Linked DNA regions of Astyanax mexicanus. The protein of the gene in region 3 purifies or fractionates together with the protein of the main gene of each other region. This does not show direct contact. Links are inferred from orthologs where the notes say so. Each region holds a gene or a part of one and is shown on either strand. Other genes may lie near its edges.

Evidence for each region.
Region 1: the proteins of foxj1a (region 3) and rfx3 purify together in Homo sapiens (affinity purification with mass spectrometry; 3 studies listed by BioGRID and IntAct, counting the BioPlex papers as one, with this or other methods). This does not show direct contact. The link is inferred for Astyanax mexicanus from reciprocal best matches to the Homo sapiens genes FOXJ1 and RFX3.
Region 2: the proteins of foxj1a (region 3) and tbc1d32 purify together in Homo sapiens (affinity purification with mass spectrometry; 3 studies listed by BioGRID and IntAct, counting the BioPlex papers as one, with this or other methods). This does not show direct contact. The link is inferred for Astyanax mexicanus from reciprocal best matches to the Homo sapiens genes FOXJ1 and TBC1D32.

Annotation. Positions count from the first base shown.
Region 1 is NC_064427.1:3,554,675-3,562,026, reverse strand, and holds the start of rfx3 (transcription factor RFX3), read left to right. Parts: upstream 1-4,299; 5' UTR 4,300-4,436; intron 4,437-7,352. Other genes in the region: zinc finger protein GLIS3, read left to right, coding at 824-957. UniProt on the Homo sapiens protein: Transcription factor required for ciliogenesis and islet cell differentiation during endocrine pancreas development. Essential for the differentiation of nodal monocilia and left-right asymmetry specification during embryogenesis.
Region 2 is NC_064408.1:81,788,899-81,796,265, forward strand, and holds the start of tbc1d32 (protein broad-minded), read right to left. Parts: upstream 3,103-7,367; 5' UTR 2,948-3,102; intron 1,543-2,947; exon of another isoform or gene 1,444-1,542; intron 1,069-1,443; 5' UTR 1,025-1,068; coding exon 870-1,024; intron 786-869; coding exon 624-785; intron 424-623; coding exon 246-423; intron 1-245. Other genes in the region: hsdl1 (inactive hydroxysteroid dehydrogenase-like protein 1), read left to right, coding at 3,582-3,801, 4,843-5,288, 6,270-6,488, 7,353-7,367.
Region 3 is NC_064426.1:11,593,656-11,601,462, forward strand, and holds the start of foxj1a (forkhead box protein J1-A), read left to right. Parts: upstream 1-4,712; 5' UTR 4,713-4,895; intron 4,896-5,542; 5' UTR 5,543-5,583; coding exon 5,584-6,159; intron 6,160-7,213; coding exon 7,214-7,807. UniProt on the Homo sapiens protein: Transcription factor specifically required for the formation of motile cilia. Acts by activating transcription of genes that mediate assembly of motile cilia, such as CFAP157.

The DNA.
Region 1 (7,352 bases), on a different chromosome or scaffold from region 3:
TCAATAAAAGAGCTGTATATGTACTGTATAAATGATAAATGGTGATATGATATTATATATATATATATATATATGTAGGCACAGGGATTATGATAAATTCTATATTGTTGAATATGCAATAAGGCCGTCACATACTAGACAATGCAACTTTGTCTTTTACCATTGTCTTTAAAGGAGGTGGGCACACCGGTGTCAACACCATATGTTGAAACATAGTTAAAGTTATATAGTTTTATATATATAGTTAAAGTGCTAAAGGACTCACTGAGGAATGGCACTGTTGCAAAATTCCATCCCAAACAACAAAACCTGCTTATAATGAAGATTTATTGTTATTATGAAGTTAATAAAAGTGAGGCCATACAGAATGCCCAGCCTCTTCATTTCCAACAACCGTAACGAAAAACCGAACCGCAGAGTTTATACCAAGGTGTGAATCAAACTGTACATTTTCTGGACTGTTAAACCCTTATTATTCACATTTTTAGGCACACTTAAATTATTTCATCCTCTCCTGCCCCGCCCCTAAACCCATACATCAGCCAAAAAGTGCCCCTCCCTTTTTTTTTGGTTGCATTTTTCCAATTTGAGCTGTAGGTGGAGTCTTTAAGCATGACAGATAGGTTGTATGACACCCTGTAATGCCATTTTAGGAGTGTATTATAAAATGTAGTATACTGTAAGCAAAAAAGAAAAGTTTATTTTAATCATAGAAATGTATAAGGAAATGAATTGTTAGCTAAATATTCATGGTTGTGACACTCCTGTGAGCAGCTGTTAATAAGCAGTGTGTGTGTGTGTGTATGTGTGTGTGGGTTTGCAGTAATGGATCAGCACAGTGTATCAAAGGACGCCTTGGAGAATCAGGACTTTTCGCTGTCAGACGACAACTACCTTCACATACGGTCGGTGGATCGCTGCCCGAGTCAGCTCTCCTGTACCTACAGAGAGGGATAAACACCGGCCAGGAGTAACTCTCGCTCTGCCCTCTGATCACCTGTCTGTACTGATGATTCATTACTGACTTCTTGCTTCTTCTCTTACAGTCACAGACTTACATTTATTAAAGACAGCTGCTCTGGAACCTGAAGTCAAGGATGTTTGTGAATTCTCAAAAACAAAAAAAAACTATGTACATATGGACTGCAGTTCTGTCTTTACCGTTTTTGATTATTTACACAGAGATTATGATGTTCATTTTGCAAGTTTTCTTTTTGTATGATATGAAATTTCATGTGATAAAAGCTGATTCCAACCTGTGAAAAAAACAGAGCATTTGTGATTGTGTGCTTTACTGAAGCACATCGTTTCTGCGGAAGTGAGATTTACTTATTATCTCAAAATAATCACTTGTTTTGATCTATTAAACTGTTGTGTGGTTCCAAATCTCAAATTATACACTTTTTTAAATCGTTGGCTCTGTCTCTCAAAATGCTTTTTTTTTTATTTCTGACATTTTTAAAATTGTTGTACAATTTTGACTTAGTTTTGCAACTCAAAACAGTGATGTTATTTCACAAAATGTTCACTTTAAAACTCAAATTAGTCACTTTTTCATCTCCAGATTTTCTATTTTCTATCTTGTTCAAATTCTTCTGTCTCAAAATAGTGAAATAATTGAATAAAATGACTTATTTTCTTAAATTTTAACATAATATTTATATTTCTCTTCTCAAAAAAATTTGACTTATTTTCTTAATTATCTCAAAATTGTACATAATGTACATAAAATGAATTATTTTAAATTAAATTAAACCTGACCCAATTAAATGCAGTGTGAAAAGAATGAAATGCAATGTCTTAAAGTTCATAGCTCTTTTTTTAAGAACCTGTCAACATTAACATATCTAACCCTGAAGACTTTAATCCAGGCCATCTGGGGTTATTTTGGGAAATTACAGATCATTTATTGTGTATGAATAGGCAAGCTAGGCCACTGACAGATTACATTACTGTTCCCTTCGTAGTAAAACCAGTCCAAATAGGATAAGGCTGTATTCAGAATATGATAAAACTCAGTATTTTGAACATTTGGAAAAAAATCGATTTTTTTATGTTGGTTTTAGAAACAAAGTAATAAAAGATGCCATATTCTCTTCTACATAATGAGTTTTCAGTGGGTTTCTTCCTGGAAGAGCATTCAAACATGAAACAGAAAAGAGATAGAAAAGCTATAATCATCTCATATCTAATACTACAGCATCTGTTTATATCTGTATACTTTAAAACACTGGTAGAGCCAGATCTAAATGCAAAGGTCAATCGTCAAGAGCTGAAAAGGCCAGCAGAAGGAACTGCACAGAAAAGCTGTAATTACTATGTTTAGCATCACTGGTAGCCATGGAGTCCATTTTTTATGTTGTGTCCCAGTTGGGTTTACCAGTGTAATTTGGGAAAGGAGGCACTATAATCATGAAGAATCAGTGGGAATGTGTCACAGGGGTTCGGCTTCCGCCTTCTGGCCAAAACAAGCCCAGTGTCCTCGCTTAAAATGCCCAGATAGATCCATTCTTTGGACCCCTTCTAAAGGAAACAGAATTTTGGATCTCTTAAAAAACTGTGTTCAAATTGTGCAGAAGTCATGCCTAGAATGGATAAAGATAATATAGGTACATAATTTAGGTACACTTATTGAGATAAAAGCACCAAGACTGATTTGTTGGATTCAAATGTATTTTAGAAGTATTTTACACGGTATTGAAAGGAGCGCTAGAAACCTGCTGGGTTCAACTTATTCCTGTCTGGATACAAGATGATATACTGTACATACAGTTGGGAATTATTTGTGTGTGAGATTTTTTGTGAGAGAGATTTTACACATTCTTTTGATATTGGGGATATCAGAATAAAATATCTCACCTGTTGTCTGATAAATTGACTTAAGCTAGCAAAATATTTCTATATTAAACGATAGTTTTAATGTTATAAATACTTTCTGAAGGTTATGAATTATTCGACCACATGGACCATAGATTAGTGTTTAATTGCCGCAGATGTAAGGGGGTGTGCTTCAGCAAATGTGCTGCACTGTTCAGCTAGGATATCAGTTAAATCTAACTAGACTCCCCTCAGAACCGAAGCAAGTATATTATTTAGCTGAGTATCTTCTTATTTTCTTTGCATTCCTTTACTTAAAACAAATATGTTATTGTTCTTAAATTTGTTCAATTCAGTTCCAGGTAGCAGTGATTAAATTAAGCAGAGGAAGAGCACTTATAAACATACAGACTCATTAAACATACAAACTAAGAGATTTGAGTTGTTTTATTATTATTATTTGGGATTAAGCTGATATTTTACCATTTTCTGATTTTTATTTTAGCTTTTTTGCATTTTCATGCAGACCAATCATTCTGAAGTCAAATTTATAAAAATAAAGAAATAAATAAAAAACACCTCATCTTTATTTTTAAGTTCAAAATATATAGCTACCATTAGAAATAATATTGTCCACAGATTTCATAAATCATTGCCTTAATTGCAGAAATATTTGCTTCATAAACTGTTTACAGGGAAGAATTTAATAAAATAAATCTATAAAACTAAAACTAAAAAAAACATATAACTATAAAACTATATTATATTATTTTAACTAAAGTAATAGTTCAGTATGTAGTCATATTTAAGACGCTGGGGTTTTGGGTTCGCTTTTTTTGTTATCTTTACAATTCCACCTTAAATTGCACTGACGCCGACTGTAACTGCTGCGCTGTTTAAGGTGGAACGGGTGAAAAATGAGTGGATTAGCAAGTCTTGTCTAGAAAACGTTTGAGACGTCTTAAATGTAGCTTATAGAAATTAAACATGGATTCTGTCCGTTAGCTTTGTTTTATAGATGATTTAAAGCTAAATACGTGTAAAACTCGTATATATTAGGGATACTTTAGAAGATCTGTATTATATGTGTGGGTCAATAAAGTGAGTGTTTTTTTTCTCCTGCATATTCTTTAACTATGCCTCTTTTGCTTTGATTTTTTTTTTTGTCATCTTCATAATTCCACCTTAAATTGCATTGAAGGATGTTTAAGGTGGAACCGGTGGAAAAATGAAGCGAATAGAGGAAGCCTCGTCTATGATTAGTTCAGAAAACGTCTGAGACGTCTTAAAGACAGCTTATAAAAATGAAACATGAATTTCTGACCGTTTGCTTTGTTTTATAGATGATTTAAAGATAAATAAGTGTAAAAATTTGTGAACTTTTATTCAGCGCGCGCCGATAAGCCCCGCCCCCCTCGCGCTCGCGCTTCCGGCCGGTCCCTCGGTTTCGGGGTTTGGTTGAGGCGGCGCTTTATAGCAACCGTTGCCCCGCGATTCAGCGCCATAGTCACCGTAGTCCTGGCGACTGTAACCCACCAACAACAACAACAACCTCGCGCTCCATCCTCACCGCCTCTGCCATCCTCATCCTCATCAACACATAATCCCACACACTGCAGGTGAATATTACAGCTGATTACTGCTTTTATAGGCTTTATTCCACCATGCATTAGCGCTGCCCGGCGGGCTGGGGTTCTGCTGCTGCGGCTGGTTTGCACTTTTCCCCTGCTGAAGGTTTTCTGCTTTATTGTGAGCTGTGGGTCCATTGTAAAACGTAACTTAGCTAGCCTGCCATACAGCTGTTTAGTTAGCTAGCCTTGCTAGTTATTTTTTCATCTATCTATTTAACGTTATATATCTGTCTATCTATCTATATGTATGTATGTGTGTATTTATATCGCTCTATTTTATTTATATCTAGTTATTTGTGTAACTTACAGCAGTCTTCATATATTTTTTTTTAGGTTTTGTGCTGCTTTGTATTCGGATTTTAACGTTTTTTTTAACATTCACTTGGATTTATTGCTGAACACGCTTGCTTTTAGCTAATTTAGCTTCCTATAAAAATTTAATGATTATTTTAAACGCACCAAAAACAGTCTAGCTAGTTAGATAGGTTAACCTAGCTAACTATCTTATTATGTATTAGCAATATGATATACTCTATCAAGATTATTTGTTCATGCTTATTCAATGTGTCTAACGTTATAGCTAAATATTATATATCCTGTCCATTTTCGCTGATTTATTTAAGCGTTTGGTAGCTTCAGCTTTTATTAGCTAGCGTTAGGTCTGCTCCAGCATCTTTCCTCATCCTCAGAAGCAGGTGTTTCCTCCGGCTAGCCGACACAGTGGTGGCCGGGTGTTCTGCCGTTCTGTGCTACCCGCCGATATGTGCTTCTTACTTGCAGTGCGCATGCGCTGAGCCACTCGTTTTGTCAAAAAAATATTTGAAATTGTTTATTCAATAATATTATTCTTAAGTTTAACCATATTGCATTTTTGGCGCGAGTGTTACAGAAGGTAATTAATCGATTTAATGTAATCGATCATGGCAATTCATAGTAAGATTATAATAATAATCTTAACAGTCAGCTTTATTACTCTGTTAACACTGATTATACAGTGATTTAGGCTTATCCACATTTTCTACCTAGACTTCATTCAGCTTGGGAGCATGTTGTAATATATTTTAATATATTTTTTGTATGTGTGTTTTTACCTTTAAATAAATAATATAACGTTACACTCGGGTAGCACGATTTGACAATGTAGCACAACTCGGCAAAACACCTGGTCAGAGCGAGCTAGCTAACCGCTATTCTTCAACACCTCCAGCCTCGCTAGCGAGCTAAACCACAACCACACCAAACTGGGAGTTGGGTTTTTTTTTGTATTTTTTAACTGCAGAACTGCAAAACTGTTTTAAAGCCGTATCTGATTTTCCGTATTTTTATTAATAGAAGAACTGTGCAGAATTGTGCAGCTGGCTGGCCAACCTGTCTGAATGAGCTAAAGCTAGCTAGCTATGGCTATTCAACGTTAGTCATAATGTTAGCCAGCTAACTATAGTGGTCTTGCACTGATATTAGCAGAATACATTGCATTTGTAAGCTTATTTGTAGCTCACTTGTATACATTTCAGCTTGCTACCTAAATGTGGTTAAAACCCTCCAAACACACAGGTTAGTTAGCTAGCGTTAATGCTAAATGTGCTTTCATTTAATGACTGATACACAATGCTAGCCGGCTAGCGTTACCGAAACCTGCAGCCTATCCATTGTTACCAGCTAGCCACTGGGGGCAAGTGCAGCTAATATTAGTTAGCTAGCTGGATAAATACAGCTCTGGAAAAATTGAGAGAGTACTTCAGTTTCTGAATCAGTTTCTCTGATTTTGTTATTTATAGGTTTATGTTTGTGTAAAATGAACATTGTTGTTTTATTCTATAAACTACAGAAAACATTTCTCCCAAATTCCCCCCAAAAAAATTGTCATTTAGAGCATTCATTTGCAAAAAAAAAAAGAGAAATAACTGAAATAACAGAGCTTTCAGACCTCAAATAAGGCAAAGAAAACAATATTTAGTGGAATAACCCTGTTTTTTAAATACAGTGTTAATGTATCTTGGCATGTTCTCCTCCACCAGTCTTACACACTGCTTTTGGATAACTTTATACAAAAATTATATATATATATATATATATATATATATATATATATATATATATATATATATATATATATATATCTTTTTGCATTTCCATGCAAGGCCAAATACAAAAAAAGTCTATTAAAGAACACCCTATCTCTATTTCTAAGAGCTACCAATGCTACCACGGCTCCCGGTTATTATTATTTTATATTGGTTGATTTGGAGATTGGCTGTTAAGTTGTCTATTATCTTTTCATTGTTTGGACGACTTTATAACTGGACTATATTTCTGTATAGTGTGCATAATTTATTCTTTGTAGTTGCACAGTTTAATGAATGTGACTAGGCTTGTTAATTTTTCTAATCTAACCTAAAATATATGTGCAAAAATGCTTGGAAATGAAGAGCATGTATAGTCAAAATAGGAAAAGGGAAATCTTAACTATTAAAAATAAATGCAAATAAACTATTAAAAATAAATGCAAATAAGTTTCTATTCCATATCTTTTCTGAGAATTTATATTGTCCATTTATTTAATGTAAAGGACAGCTGTGATATATGATAGCTTACTTTCTATTCAGTTTTATCACAGTATTAGCTACTGTATCAGTGATGGCATGAAACCGATATTGATTACCTCTCTTGAGTATCATCAAATAGGTTCTCTTGCTCAAACTTTCTGTTGGGACAATAGTTGGTGTAAGACCTTGCCACTTTAGGACTTTTTATAAATATACTGCCCATCTTTCTACCAGTGTAGTGTGATTCAATGTATTAAATATGGTATTTCTGTGTAATTCTTCATTGATGTTACACATTCTGATTGTATTCTTTCATGCTTAATTTGGAATAGATTTTTTTTTATCTGACATCCAGTCA
Region 2 (7,367 bases), on a different chromosome or scaffold from region 3:
ACAACAAAACAGACAGATCTATTAGAGCTTACATTCATGTAGAATTCATAATAGAAAATCAAATCCATATTTAAATATTGTATCCACTTAACTATAAAGTGTTTAGTAAAGGTATGCTACAATACAAAAACAATGCAGTTACAGTGAATTACATGACCACTAAATTTACTGGTGCTCTGGTTGGTTCTATGAAATTATATATTGTAGTGGGGATTTGAACATTCATCAAAGGAAACGTGCATCACCTGATTAAAGGAAGAGTCACTGTCAGAGCAGTTGTCTGTGTAGTGGCTGCTTGACTGTTCATGTTGGCTTTTCCTATGCATCTCCTCCTTCTTCAACTGATCCTCCTCAAATTTATTGATTAGTGATTCCACAATAACCATCATGGTCTGTTTTAATGTCTGCATCATCTGTTTATACCTATTGAACAATAACACATTTGTTTAATCCTTCAACAAGTATTTACGTGCAGGTATATAATGAACAATTAAAACGACTAAATAAAGATCTATACTAATTAAAAAACATGACAGCATCCAAACTGGTGACTATAAACTTCCATTCATTGTTATATCATATATTAAGTATTTGCTCAGTTAGTTATTAAGCAGGCCACATACTGCGCAGATTCCCTTGTTCTTCTGGTGACAGCATGGACCAGGGTGTCCTGGCCAGATCCAATGACATGGCCATCACCTTTGGTACAGTTATCCGTCTCCTCTTCAATAACTGCCCCCAGTGTGCTCTCAACATACTGTCGCAGGTACTTGACGAACTCATAACTAAGAGTAAAAAATGGGCATGAGGGAAAAACAGAATTTAAATTACTAAAATGTATTGATCAAGGTAAAGGTGTGTAAACCTACTTGTGAAAGTTTTTGTCCGTCTCCTCCAAGTGCAGCAAGATTTCCTCTGCACATTCCACTGATGGCGCCCCTGATATTCTCTCTTTTACACTTTTTAGAAGCTGCCTCAGCAGGCACTGGAGCTCAGCCTCATCCTCTGCAGAAAACTGAGACATCACTCCACAGGGGGTGTGATGCACCCTTCTCTACCAAGGACTTCCTATAGACACAAGTACAATATCATTAAATGGGATATTTGTCTTCTGCAGTATTGCTGCAGCATTGTTTGGCACATTGTTGATGTTTGTAGCAAAAGGACAATTCACACTGTTCTGATTTCCCATTAAATATCTATTAGAAACAGATTATATCTCTTTAGGATAATTTAGTTTACTTTAGTCCTGGATATGGAGTGCATTATTAGTATCATGACAAGTTGGATCATTGACTTCTCTTACAATCAGGTAAAAATCTGAATTAGGGATGTGCCATAACATTTAGTATATACAACAAATTTGCCAAATGAAATCTAATTCATTTTGCTGCAGTAGTGTATTGTTTTTCACCAAATTATGTATTTAGGAATTTAACTAACCATTACTCAACATCCAGATCATCACTGATGCTTTTAGGACCTGGAAATATTCACCAACCAGAAATTTTTAGAGACAGACATCTTGAATCTACAGAGACCCTAAGATAACATCATGGAAAGAAAAATTTACTTATTAAGGCGTGGATGGAAACGAGATCCTGATGAGTGGCCAAGGCTTAATAAGGTGTGGGAACAAGATCCTAATGTGTGGCCATGACTTATTTAGGGTGTGAACAATAATAATAATAATAATAATAATAATAATAATAATAATAATAATAAATTGTGGCCAGGCATTAGGATGTCGTTCCCATCCTTAACCATAACCTTATGAATCTAACCCAAGATAAAGAGAAAGGGTTTAATCTCTACTGTAACCTGGTCCAGCTGGTTGCTTGGTTAGCTGTATTTTTGTTGAGTTGGGTGGTTTAGCTTGCCTACAACCATGATTAACCTGACCACACTAGCTAAGTTAGATAACCAGTGTGACCAAGCATAACCAAACTGGTTAACCACCATGACCCAGCATGACTTGTCAACCAGCATGACCTCTCATGACCAAGAACAAGTAAAATCAAATGCACTATTTAGTGTGCTGGTGATGAGCTGGATAAACTGTCAGCTTAGCAGAACAGTATGTGTGAAGGCATGGATGACAAGCTTTCCAAAATCCTGGTCTTGAGCTGCATTTTTTTGTGTGATGCTAACTCTAATAGCCGTTATTTAGCACGTTAGTTAGTTAACAATAATAATGGTATTTGAGCTAAGAAGGAGCTGTTTGTGAATAACAGGCGAGTGTAGGTAACAGACAGCTAGCTAACCTAGGTTTCTTGACTAGCCAGCTATCACACACAGCTAGTTAAACAGTTCAGTAGTTATAATATCCAGAGACGTTAACAATGTCATTGAGTCCTTCACTATAGATATATAGGCAGTGACTACAAAAAGCATAACAGCAGCGAACAGTAGCCGGGTAAGTATAATGATACGCTAGCTAACTGGTGTTCTGTCGATTTGTGCTACCTTGACAAACTGTGATACCCTTGTGTGTATTTAAACATAGAAATACCAGAAATAGCACCATATATTTAAAAATGCTCGCTAAAAAGTCTCGATTTGATTTTTGGAAAATCTGAATCAATATGTCAGGGTACGGTTAAAAGAGTTAAACGGGTGATTTAACGTGTTTTGATTTTTTTTCATGGTCGTATTATTACTTGCGTTATACTTTAATTATTAACTGCCATTCACATAATACAAATACAAATGATGACAGGACGCTCCGGTTGTTTAATGCCCCCACGTATAACATAATTACCGTAAAAACACATGAAACCCGAAACTTGCGAATAAGCGCTTGCGCACTGGTAGTAAGAAGCACATATCGACGGGTAGCCATATTCGACAGAACACCGGTTTTTATTAACAGTCTGCTGTGTCTTGGAATTAGCTAGCTGCTAAGCTAAATTAACACACAGACAGAACGCGGAACGGCGTAAACTACCTGACCAAGGTTCATTTCATCCGAGAAGATGTGAAAAAAAACCCTTTAGAAGGTAGAAAATCTTTTAACGGAGCTGAAAAAGCGGAGTTTGAGCACAAGCTAATCTCCTAACCACTGCCAGAGAGAGCCTGTCCGCACACAACCGGCGTCACTATAGAAACAGCAAGCTGACCAATCAGAGTGCGCTCCACCGACTATAGCAAATGTTACAAATATTGTAATATAAAAAAAATAATTATGCGACAAAATATTCTAAAAACAACATGATATGTATATTTTTACGAAGATAATTTTTTGCACTATAATTTGTACACGAAAAGTGCTGTTACAAAAAACAACTATCGGTCCCTTTAAAAGAATGGCTGAGAAAGAGTCACGTGACCTTTTGTCGGCTCTGCGTGTGTGTTTGTGTTGTGTTCAGGCTGTGAAACGGTGCAGGAAAAGTCTGGATCATTCATCAGTGTAAACAGTCAGTTTAAAACCTCACACCTGTTAAATAGAGGCTGAAAGAGAGAGAGCCCAGCTCGCCCGGTAGGCTGTGTGCTCGGTTTAGTGGGGTTTGTTCAGTATTAGATTTAAACAGGCTCGTTTGCTTATTAGTTAGCTAAAGTTAGCTATCAGTAATTCTCCTCTTATGGCTGCTGTTGATAGCTTCCAGTTTCTGTACAGAGAAATCGCCAGATCCTGTAGCTGTTATGTGGAGACCCTGGCATTAGTGGGAGCTTTGTACACAGCGAGCAAAGCTGCTGTGCTCGTGCGGGACTGTTACAGCCTGGTGCGGCTTCACTTCATCCCCAGGCTCGTTCACCCCCGAGATCTGGTTCACCAGTATGGCAAATGGGCTGTCATTAGTGGTAAGTTTACACAAGTGACAGTTAACACCTATTAGTGATGGACAAAGTGCACAAATAATGTACCTGCTCAAAAAAAAAAATCAGCATGGCCTGCTCCAACTGGTCAGGAAGATGTTTTAGATTTTGTGTTTTAAAGGCTTCACTGGTTTTCAAACATGGTCGACCAAGCTAGACCACCAGTATGACCATGCCGATTAATCAGCTTGTCCAGCAAGATCCAGCTGGTTGATCAGCATAAACCAAAACTAAAACTAACCAAAGTGGTTGACTAGCAAGAAAAATCTTGTTGACCATCTTAACCAGCAAGACCAAACTGCCAGACCAATATGATCAAGACTGTTGACCAGCAAGACCAACCTGGAGACCAGCATGACTTGCAAGACCAAAGTGATTAACCAACAAGAAAAGGCTTATGCATCTTCACCAGCAAGGCTAAGCTGGCTGACGAAACATGACCAAGACTGTTGACAAGCAAGACCAAATTGGAGGACCAACATAACCAAGATGCTTGACCAGCAAGACCAAGGTGGTTGAACACAATGAAAAACATGACCTGCAAGACCAAACTGATTGGCCAGCATGTAAAAAGTAGCTAGAGATACCATTCACCATTCTTTTTTTTATTGTAAACCTAATAACATTCTTAAAAAAAGTTTACAATAGGTTTTTACTATACTGAATCTCTATATTTCAAATTTCCCTTCTTGTATGTGGGTTTAGGTACGTTTAAAAAAATGTACACTGTTAAACTAACATTCCACTATATACTTTTACTGTGTGGCTATGTACTGTGCTGTATATGTGTTGTGCTTGCGTTTAATTTTTAAATTTTCATACACATACTGTTTGCGCATATTTGACTCTGTGATGTAGTGGAGAAAGTATAGATAAACAAATACACTTAACTACTTAAGGATAGTAAAAAATTGCATTTACTTTGTTACTGTCCATCACTGCACCTACTGACTGTTTATCTTCTGCATTAGTCTGAATGATAAAAACGATGTATTCTCATGTTGGCTCTGTTTTATTCTCATGCAGGTGCATCAGAGGCCATAGCCAAAGCATATGCTGAGGAACTGGCCAGACATGGTGTGTGCATCATCCTGATAAGCCCAGATGTCCGCAGTGTAAATGATGTAGCAAAGTCTATTTCAGATGTCCATGGGGTGGAGGCCATTTTGGTTGAAGCAGATTTCACACATGGTCTCTCAGTGTGTAAACCTATTAAAGATGCCATCGGAGACAAGGACATAGGGTTTGTTGTGAACTGTCTGGATTCATCCCACAATGTATTCAGAGACTTTCTTGACTTGTCTGAAGGCACCGTTTGGCACATCTTAAACAATAATGTCACCACGGCCACCCTGGTGACCCGTCTGGCTCTGCCTGGCATGGCAGAGAGACAAAGAGGCGCTGTGGTTAATATCTCATCTGAAGGATGTTCCAAGCCCACTTCAAGGAAGGCTGTGCTTTCTGCATCCATGGTCAGTGATCAAATTGTTCATGTTTTACAATAGTGTCCTAAGCACAATTTAACCCCTAGATTTATTATGCATTAACTACTATGTGTTCTAACAGTCAGATTCCTAAGGATTATGGTTTGACTTTCGGTCCTGTTTTATTTGACTGTCCTAAATGTACACAAAATTGCCAGTATTTAGATGGTGTGTATGTGATGTCACAGTTGGTGGAGGTCACTGTGGTAACCCCCACTGAGTAGCAAAAAAGACACACTAAGTGGCAGCAGTATTATTCATTGTGAAGGCTGAGAAAACACAGTATGGAAAAAGGGGCTTTTGGGTGATTGACTTTTCAAACATTGTCTAAAAAATGTAAAAACTACTAAAAGTTAAAGAGGTGAGAATCTAGTTCACCTCATCAACTCTTTAACCTACAGGACAGTGGTGTTCCAAGACCAGAATGAAGAAACACTGGTTTAGATTTGAAATTAGGTACACCAAAATATTAGGAAACACGTTTCTGTCCATATCGATTTCCTCGGACCACTGGTTTTTTGATGTTGACCCTAATGTGTTGATTTTCAGTTTATATTCACGTGTTTAACTGTTAAAAACAGTCATACTGTAGCATGTTTTGCAAAAAAATGTAAATTGTGTTCACAAGCACCAGTCTGTCTGATTCTGTCACAGCAGCACGACCCACTCACATGATGACCACGACCCACATGTATCATTATTTGTGTGATAAAATGGTCTACCACTCAAATGATATCTGTTCTCTGTGTTGATTACATTGCATTAATTAATGGGATAAAGAAGGGGGACAAAATTGTGAAAGAATGCACATTCAGTAACTTTAGTAAAAACTTTGAAACCTAAGCGGTCAATGACTGCAGCTATAAAGTAGTTAGTTATACAAAATATACTGCCAACTCTGTGTGTAATAGCCCTTAAAAATAAATTGTTCCTTTGGGTAAAATATGTCTTTTTTTTCCCCCCCACTAGGCTTTCCTTGACCACTTCAGTCGCACCCTGCATTATGAATATGGTCACCGAGGGGTCTTTGTGCAGAGTTTGATCCCCTGTAGAGTTACCTCTAAAGGAGAAGGAGACCTGGGTGGTGCTGGCTGGTTGGTTCCACAGCCACATGTGTATGCAAGGCATGCCCTGTCCACTCTGGGTATCTCCCACAGAACTACAGGATACTGGCCTCATACAATACAGGTGAATTACAGATGAAATATAATAGGAAGCATGGTTGTACAATATTTCTCTATTTGAATTGAGAATGATCCCTAAATTCCACTTGAGGTTGCAAACTAGAAGCTGAAGTGCAATTATTTTTTTTAGCAGGAAGTAGAATTAAAATGAAATGAAATTCAAAGAAATTCATAATACATAATTCAGGTTTATTTAAAAACAAAGCTTTTCAGTACATGACATGTGATTACAACATGAATGTCATACAGATCTTTTTGCATGGGCCACAAATGTATGATTACATCATACTCTATAAAACAGGCTATTAAAATTGTAATAACCTTTAAATTGTAGAAATTGACAATGCTTAATTTCCCAGAACACCTTGCTTTATCCAGGTATTTAATATAGTTGTTCAAACATTTAGGCCATTTTGATGGCACACAATAAAGTGAATGAAGTTAATTGAGGGACAGAAAGGGTAATTTTTGTATTTATAGCAATCTGCAAAATAATAATGCATGTAAAAAGACATCTGTGCTTGTTCATTAAAGTGGCTGTATGCCTAATGTTAATGTCTGTACTTTTACATTGTTAAAAGTATCACATTCCCACTGATATATGATAAAAATAAATGTCTCTAAATTGCTGAGTTTAATTCCACTTCTTGTAATGCAAATTCAAATTCAGTTCAACCTGCTGTAGGGTGGATTAAATTAACATTCATATTCATTTATTGAATTGGTTTGAATTCTGAATATTGCACAGCCCTGAAAGGAACTTAGTACACTATATTGCATATCAACATTGTTCCACTATTCCCATATCTGTGCTTCTTCAACTATTATTTTTTAAATGATTTGCATGTTTATCTCATTTTTACTCTAGTTTCGACTCATGCAG
Region 3 (7,807 bases):
GCTTCCTCCTGCTGCTATTCGACTCTACATCCTGCACTGCATTCCAGCTTACTCCCGCTACACACTCAAAGAATATAGATTTTGTAAGATATTTCTCTGTTACCCCTGTGCAACTAAGAGGCAATTTACAATTATTTGTAAATACAGTCCTAAGTGTTATTTACTTTTTATTTTTTATATTGTATATAATGTTTATTTGATCTTTTCGCTGCTGTATTATTGTAAATTTCCCCACTTATCTTATCTTTAACCTCCTCCTCAAGCATATAGCAATGAAATATTTTGTTTATTTTATTTTGGTGAAACTTATCACCCAAAAAGATGGTTTCCAGCGAAAGTCTGAGTATTGCTGGTTTAGGGCAGTGATAAAAATGACCCAAAAGAGATCCCAGTTTTTTTAATTATGCACTTCTGCCAAATGAGACAATATGTTGAAGCAAATTCAGAACTCTCATTTATATATTACATTTTTTATTATATTTATTTATGGTGTATAATGTTTAAACATTGATGAATTCCATTAATCAAATTGTTTGAACCGATGATATACTGATATATAATGATATCTGATGACCTTCCAAATTTTGACCAAAAACAAACTGCATGAATGAAGTGATTTATGGATGAACTTAAAAGGCATACTATTGAACTGTACAGTGAACTCTAGCAAATGTTTTACTCTAGCATAGCTCTGCTGATTGATAGAGACGGCACAATCAGGTTGGGTTAAGTTTAACACCTTCTAAACAAAGATACAAAAAGCTGAGCAGATGTTAAACGGTTAAAGTCAGAATGGGAAATGAAAAACAACAAATATTGCTAAACAGTGTCTCATTGGATGGTTTTGCCTATTATAGTTGCTCTCTAGCTAAAATAGGCCTACAATGTACAGTTTTATTTATACAATTAAAAACGCCACCATTGTTCATTATAATTATATAAACAGAGAATAAAGTTATATTGCTTTTTTAGGTTTACTTCATATGTCCTTTATCCAATTATCTACAGGTGCAAATGTGCCTTACTTCTGTTGAACAGAGTGTAATCAGAGAGTGTGTTGACAGGCCTAGTATTTTGAGACCAGCTCAGGAGTGTCAGCCTTCCCAGCTGTAAAACTGAATAATTCAGATTGGATGTAGGAGAAAGCCTATTACAGAGAAGGTTATCTATAATGTATTGGGGTTGGGCATTTGCTTTGTATTCAGTATTGAATGGTGGCATATTAAGTTAAATGTAGGGCATATACAATAGCATAACTGTAAAAAAAAGTAAAATAAGTGAAATCAGTTTCATAATCTCTACTTACATAAAATGAATATCAGCAGCTGTGTACTCACATATACTGTATTAAAGTTATCTTACTCGTTTTTTTTTTTTACTTACTTCCCTGGGTAAATTATGTTTTATTTGGATGTGTAAATATATAAACAAAGCTGTAGCACTTTGGAGATATGACATCCCAGATAGTTTAAAGAACATTAATATTGTAACCACTCAAATCACTCAGAAGAAGGAAAAACATTTAAAAATGTTTAAAATCTCTTGTATAGTTGACTGATCAGCTATGACCAGTAAGAGCACATAAGAAAAACACCATCTAATTACAACACAAATCATTTTGAGTGATCTCTTCACTTTAAGGCCAATATAAAAAAAGATATTTCCTTAATATAAAGACTTAGACAGGATCCCTGACTGTTGGAGAGTAAAGATACACAAGCCTTACTGTAGTATATGGCAGTATTAAGCAGCAAATGCACAAAGTATATGGCAAAATGATTTTCAATTTACACAGAGAACACTTCCTACGCATTACATGTTTCACATTTATCATCACAGGCCGCAAATCCTTAACAGTAATATGTAATTTTATGTAGGACATACATTTTTGTTCTTTTCTTAATTACTGGTCAGTATAGAGGACTTTGGACTGCTTTCATACATAATGATATTTTCTCTATATGCTTTAGTAATTTAGTCAATCAAGATGTTAACGGTTAACAAAGCTTGCTGTGTACTTATACACTTTATCACGGTTAGAGTTATTTATACTTAATTTGATGTAAATTTATATTTGTAGCTGTACATAAAATGCTAAAATAAAATGGTTAGGTATTTTAGTTGTGATCCTGTAGGGCTGGAGTTTCTGCGCAATATACAGTCAGATACAGACCACAGCAGTAGATTCAAAAGTGTAGACTATAGCCAAAAAGTAATTGGACAACAAGTAGTTTAATGACAGGTTAAGGACATGAAAGGAGTGGAGTTGATTCCAAGTGATGAATTTGCATTTAGAAGCTGTGCAGGGAAACTCTCAATCTGACAGCTAACGAGTTGTTGATGCAAATGAAGTAAGCCACCATTCAGCTGAAACAGTAAAACAGTAATCTATCAAACAACAGAAACTAGTTGTAAAGGTAGAAAATAGAATGCACCGGTGACCTTAGCAACACCTGGTAGACCACGTAATATTTATAAAGTAATGTAGATGAAGCAGAACTCCTTTCAACTCTCAGGCCCTCCTCACTACATCCTGCCAGGTCAAGAAGCAAGGCAAATCACTGTCAAAGACTAAAATCAGGAGATGTCGTAATTAATTTTCATACTTTTCTAAATGTTCTGAGCCTGCTCATTTTCCTCTGTTGTGCATATCTATGGTGATTAAATACTACTTTTTATCTCTTTCAGTTTACTGTAAATGCTCAATTACACTGAAAATGGGGGTCAATCTACACAAATCAATCTACCAGTCAAAATAAAGGTTGATTGAAATTGTAAACCACAAGTCATACTCAGCAACAGACATATGTTAAACAACAGATTTAAATGCTAAAAACCAGACCATTTGGCCAGATGAAACCAAATTAACCTGAATATAGAAGCAGATAATGGGATTTACATGTAGTGTACCATAAACAATCTTATTTACATTCAGCAAATGTAAAGCAAAAGGATTGAAAAATATCAATGCGTGCTGCATCTGGGCCATAGAAGCACATTTGTCCCACTTCTAATCCATCACTTCAAGTGGTATGTGGACCATTAGAAAATGCCAGATGTGGCCCAGGATCCGTCCACAAGTTATCCACTTCCGCCCTCTGCTGTTCAGCCTCATATACTGACACAAATACACTAGACTTCAGATCTGAATGATTACACATGAAAGCATCATTATCAAATCATTATTTAAATATTCCACAATATTAGTATCGCAATATTTCTACAATTCTACAGAATCATATTTTGTAAAAAGTCATTTAGAGTGGCTGTCTAGTCTATTTTAATCTAATGCTTTCACATAGCAACTTCATGCTTCATGTGAACAATCCAAAACCAACAGCGGCAGAGGAAAATTTCCTTCAAAGCTGTAGGCGTTTCTGATAAAAACTAGCTTTCTGATCATGGAAGTAAATATGTTTGATTTAAAATAATGTAATGCACCAAAATATAAAAAATAATAATTAAAAGTAACAAAATCGGCATATTTAAAGTTCAAAGCTTTAAAGTTTAAACTTTAATGTAGAAGGTAAAATCTGAAGATCATGATAAAGGGTAAAGGGTATCTGCTATATAAAAATGATGTAGAAAATACAAGCCGCTGTGTTAGTTTATGAAAATGTGAGTTTGTAGAAAATTAACGTTTCTACTATTTTAAACTCAATATTATAAATGGACATGCTTACAGTATCTAACATCCCATGAGCGAGGCTTTATAGTAAATTAGTATACTATATGTGTCTACTTATAGCAACCGCAGAAAAAAGGAGACTGACAAGGCGGACACAGGGGAAGGTTTTGATGGGCATTTCACGGATGGCTAACAACAAGGCGAGAGGTGAAAGTACTCCAAGCACTGTCTGCTGCTCCTTTTCTCTCACCTTCATTGTCACATTCTTCACTAAAGAGGTTCAGTGACAACAGGAGACTCATTTCAGATGAAGAAAAAATGCTATTAAACAAACTGGGAAAGGATGTTACTCTCAGAGTGGCGATCGAAATGAAAAGACAGGATGAATATCCAGGACTTCAGAGCGAGGTGTTTGAAGGAATGCACAAGCTGTTCTCAGTGAGACAGTGGAACCAAAAAGAAAAAAAAAGAAGGGGAAAGACCCGCACAGACGGGTTAGCCTCTTAAACACTCCATTAGTGTGGCTGAGTGGCTTTCTGAAGAACTGCACAAAAGCAAGTGTATAGAAATAAAAAGACAAGACTTTTCATTTGGTTAGCTGGCTAGGATTGAGCAAGATGAATCAGTCAGATCTCTGCTGGTGTGCAGTGACTCGAGTAGGATTTTACTGTAAAATAGTAAAAATTGGATGTAAACTCTGTGCTACAGTTTGTGTGTGTGCTGTGTAGGCTTTGCTGGTTTATGCACTGTGTTATCTAAAGGGTAAAAAATACAAAAAAGAAGACTTTTATCTTGTGCTAATTTAAATGCTTTAAAAGCTAGCTAATGTTTTGTAGTAAATATTCCAGATAGAATAATAACTATAAGCATTAATGGAGTCTCTATAAAGAAGAGCTGCATAAAGGAATAAAATCATCCTCTGTTTTATCTGTTCCTCATTTTTGTGTTTTATTCTGGATTCACCAGCGTGGTGAGCAGACCGCGGAGAGGGGTTGATTGAAAATGAAGCCCTATAGCAACCGCGCAGCCAATGGAAGAACGGCAAGATGTTTACAAGGGGGTGTTCCGTTGCTAACGGTTACCGGACAGCCCTCGTGCAGCAGGTATTAAAGTGCCCCCCGGTCAGAGGGCCCCGGAGACCTGAAACTGCGCAGCGACGTCATCTCACGGAATTTCAGCGAGTCGTTAACTCAAGCTAACACGGATAAAAACACCATCTGCGGCCTTTTGGATGATTTTTTCGGTAATTTCCAGTTAATCAAAACAGGTGAGCTTCAGGATGAGTGGGATTTCGGGCATTAGAGTTTATTGCTATAAAAAGGGGTTTTCTGTTTTGAAATTCCGAATTGTTATAATTAACATTCTCCATCACTAAGAATACATCATTAATAAATATCACAGAAACGATCACAGGTGTCTGTTAGCTCTTATAGTGATGTAAAGGTGGTGTCTTGGGGTATTTTGTGCTTGTCTAATGTTTATATTATAAGGCTCTATATATATTTAAGGCATATCTATATATATACTCATAAAGTTACTGTTATTTCTGTCATACATCTAATTTAGGCCAGTCTGTTAAATTGATCATTTATGGCCAACAGTATCAGTATCCCTGTTTAAGTGTAGTAAAATCCACCTGCCACAGTGAAAGATGGCACGGCGAGTTGAGCCTTTTTCAGGAACATTCTCTGAAGGCCAGTCAGCTGTGGAATTTAAAGGGGGAGCTTTTTTGGCAGCTAAATGGCTCTAACCCACCCACCCCCATATAATCTACTACTTATACTACTATTTTATAGTTTCATCTATGCTGCTTTGGCGTGTTGCAGCTCATCCTTGCAATGACATCCTACCTCATGCATGATTAAAGCAGGCTGTGGACTGACTGACTGCCGCTGCTATTTTGTCCTTGTGCAGGTTTTGGCTGGGGAGGTGCGGGGAGAGGTTAACAGAGGGCTATGCTGTCCATGAGCTGCGCAGACTCTTGGCCCGAGGGCTCTGTGGGGCTGGAGGAGCAGGTGGTGACAGCTGCTGCTCAGGTCGAAGATCTGGACGAGAGCTCTTTGGCTTATAGCAACTGCACCAGCTCAGACAACCTGGATGATAGCCTCACCAGCCTCCAGTGGCTGCAGGAGTTCTCTATCCTCAATGCTAGTGGAGGGCAACATGTGTCTACCAGCAGCCAGCACCACAGCCCTTTCTTTGGGCAGCAGCTGGGAGCAGAAGCCCCTGCCTCTCCTCTAGCAGGCGACCCTGCATCCATAGGCATGCCGCTGACCCCAGGTAAGCCCATTGCGGCGTCCTTTTGCCGGGTGCCCTCCCTGTCGGCTTTGCCCAGCTTGGTGGCACATGGCCACTGCCCAGACGAGGTAGACTACAAGACCAACCCTCACATTAAGCCACCTTACTCATACGCAACCCTGATCTGCATGGCCATGCAAGCAAGCAAGAAAAGCAAAATCACTCTCTCATGCATCTATAAATGGATAACTGACAACTTCTGCTACTTCCGCCATGCTGACCCCACCTGGCAGGTGAGTTATTGCTCCTTAAATCTCGTTCTTAACAAACTTTACAATCAAATTTTAACAGAGATATTTAAATGTGATATTAATGATATTAAATGTGTAGTACTTGAAGGTATAATGTCAAAAACAAGGATAAAGAAAGAAGGTAAATGGTTTTGTAAAATGGAGTTAATATTACTTTCATACATAATCTCACATGAATGTCACACATGAACTCTAAAGTATGAGCAGTAAAATATAAGACCCTTTAATTTTGACACACTAGAATGAAACTAAATGTTCATTAGAGTTAGAGTAGTGTACATTCGAGGGAGAAACCCTCTACATCTTCCTGGAGGACTCTCTGTGTTGGAGAGTAAACAACTTCTGCTTAGCACAATGATTTTCCTCTACAGGAACCCTCCAGAGAGCTTGTTTTCTTTTATTCTGAGACTTTGTATTTGGGAAATTATTGGATAGCTGCCACACAGTGAAATAGTATTAGCAACTAAGCAGTATAGTTAATTATGAGAGCTAGAGGTTAGGGATGGCAGCACACGGGGTATGTAACTACACTGAAATGACTACAATTACATGTTTTAACCTACCCTAATAGACAGATAGACAGTGAAAAGAAGAGAATGGGATGTTTTCTGATATAAACATATATAATGTGTATAAAGTTTATTTACAGTAAAAAGGGTGGTTTTAAGGAAAATGGTTGGTAAATGATTAATTAACCCTGTAGCCTTTCTGAGGACAACTGAGACGTTTCCTCCAGTTTCAGTTATTTTAACCCGCAACCTTAACAAACAATGTTTAACCAAGGTCAAAGGGTCAGTGCTTCATTTAAATATAAGTGCTTTGTGGTATTTGGCCAGTCTATTGTGGTATTTATGAGGTTCAGGATGTGCAAAAGCCTTTTAGAATGGATCTCAAGTGTGCAGTTCTTGCTCTAAAGAAGAGAAGCTGATACTGAATGCATTGATTAGCACATTTATTCATATAAGACTAAGACTAACTATAAGACTAAGACTAACATTATGGTGCTTTTGTCTTCTATCTTAATGTATTATTGCAGAATTCAATCCGACACAACCTCTCACTGAACAAGTGCTTCATTAAGGTTCCGAGGCAGAAAGACGAGCCAGGAAAGGGAGGTTTCTGGAAGATCGACCCCCAGTATGCTGAGCGTCTACTCAGTGGGGCCTATAAGAAGCGGAGGACACCTCCGGTACAGATTAACCCAGCTCTTCAAAACCACCTCAGGATGAACTCACAACCAACTGTGCCAACAAGTGTCCCAGGAGGACTCTGTGTTAGCGCTGAGTCCCAGCAGCTCCTGAAAGAGTTTGAGGAAGCCACTGGTGTTGACCAGAACTGGGACCCTCGTCTTGCCGAAGCCACAATGTTTGGTTGCTGGGGCCCTGCAAAGGGCCACAAAAGAAAACAGCCATATGGGCATAGAACTGGTGGTCCCAAAGCCTTGCGCCGCTCTAGCTCGCCATTTCTGGCCATAGAGGAACCAAAGGATCTAGACTCCCTCAAGAGCAACTTTGACTGGGATGCCCTGCTCGATTCAGCACTGAATGGGGAGTTGAGCCTGAATGAAGGTGGCCCACTGAGTCCAATCACAAGAGAAGAGGACCTCACCATACATGGCATTCATATCAGC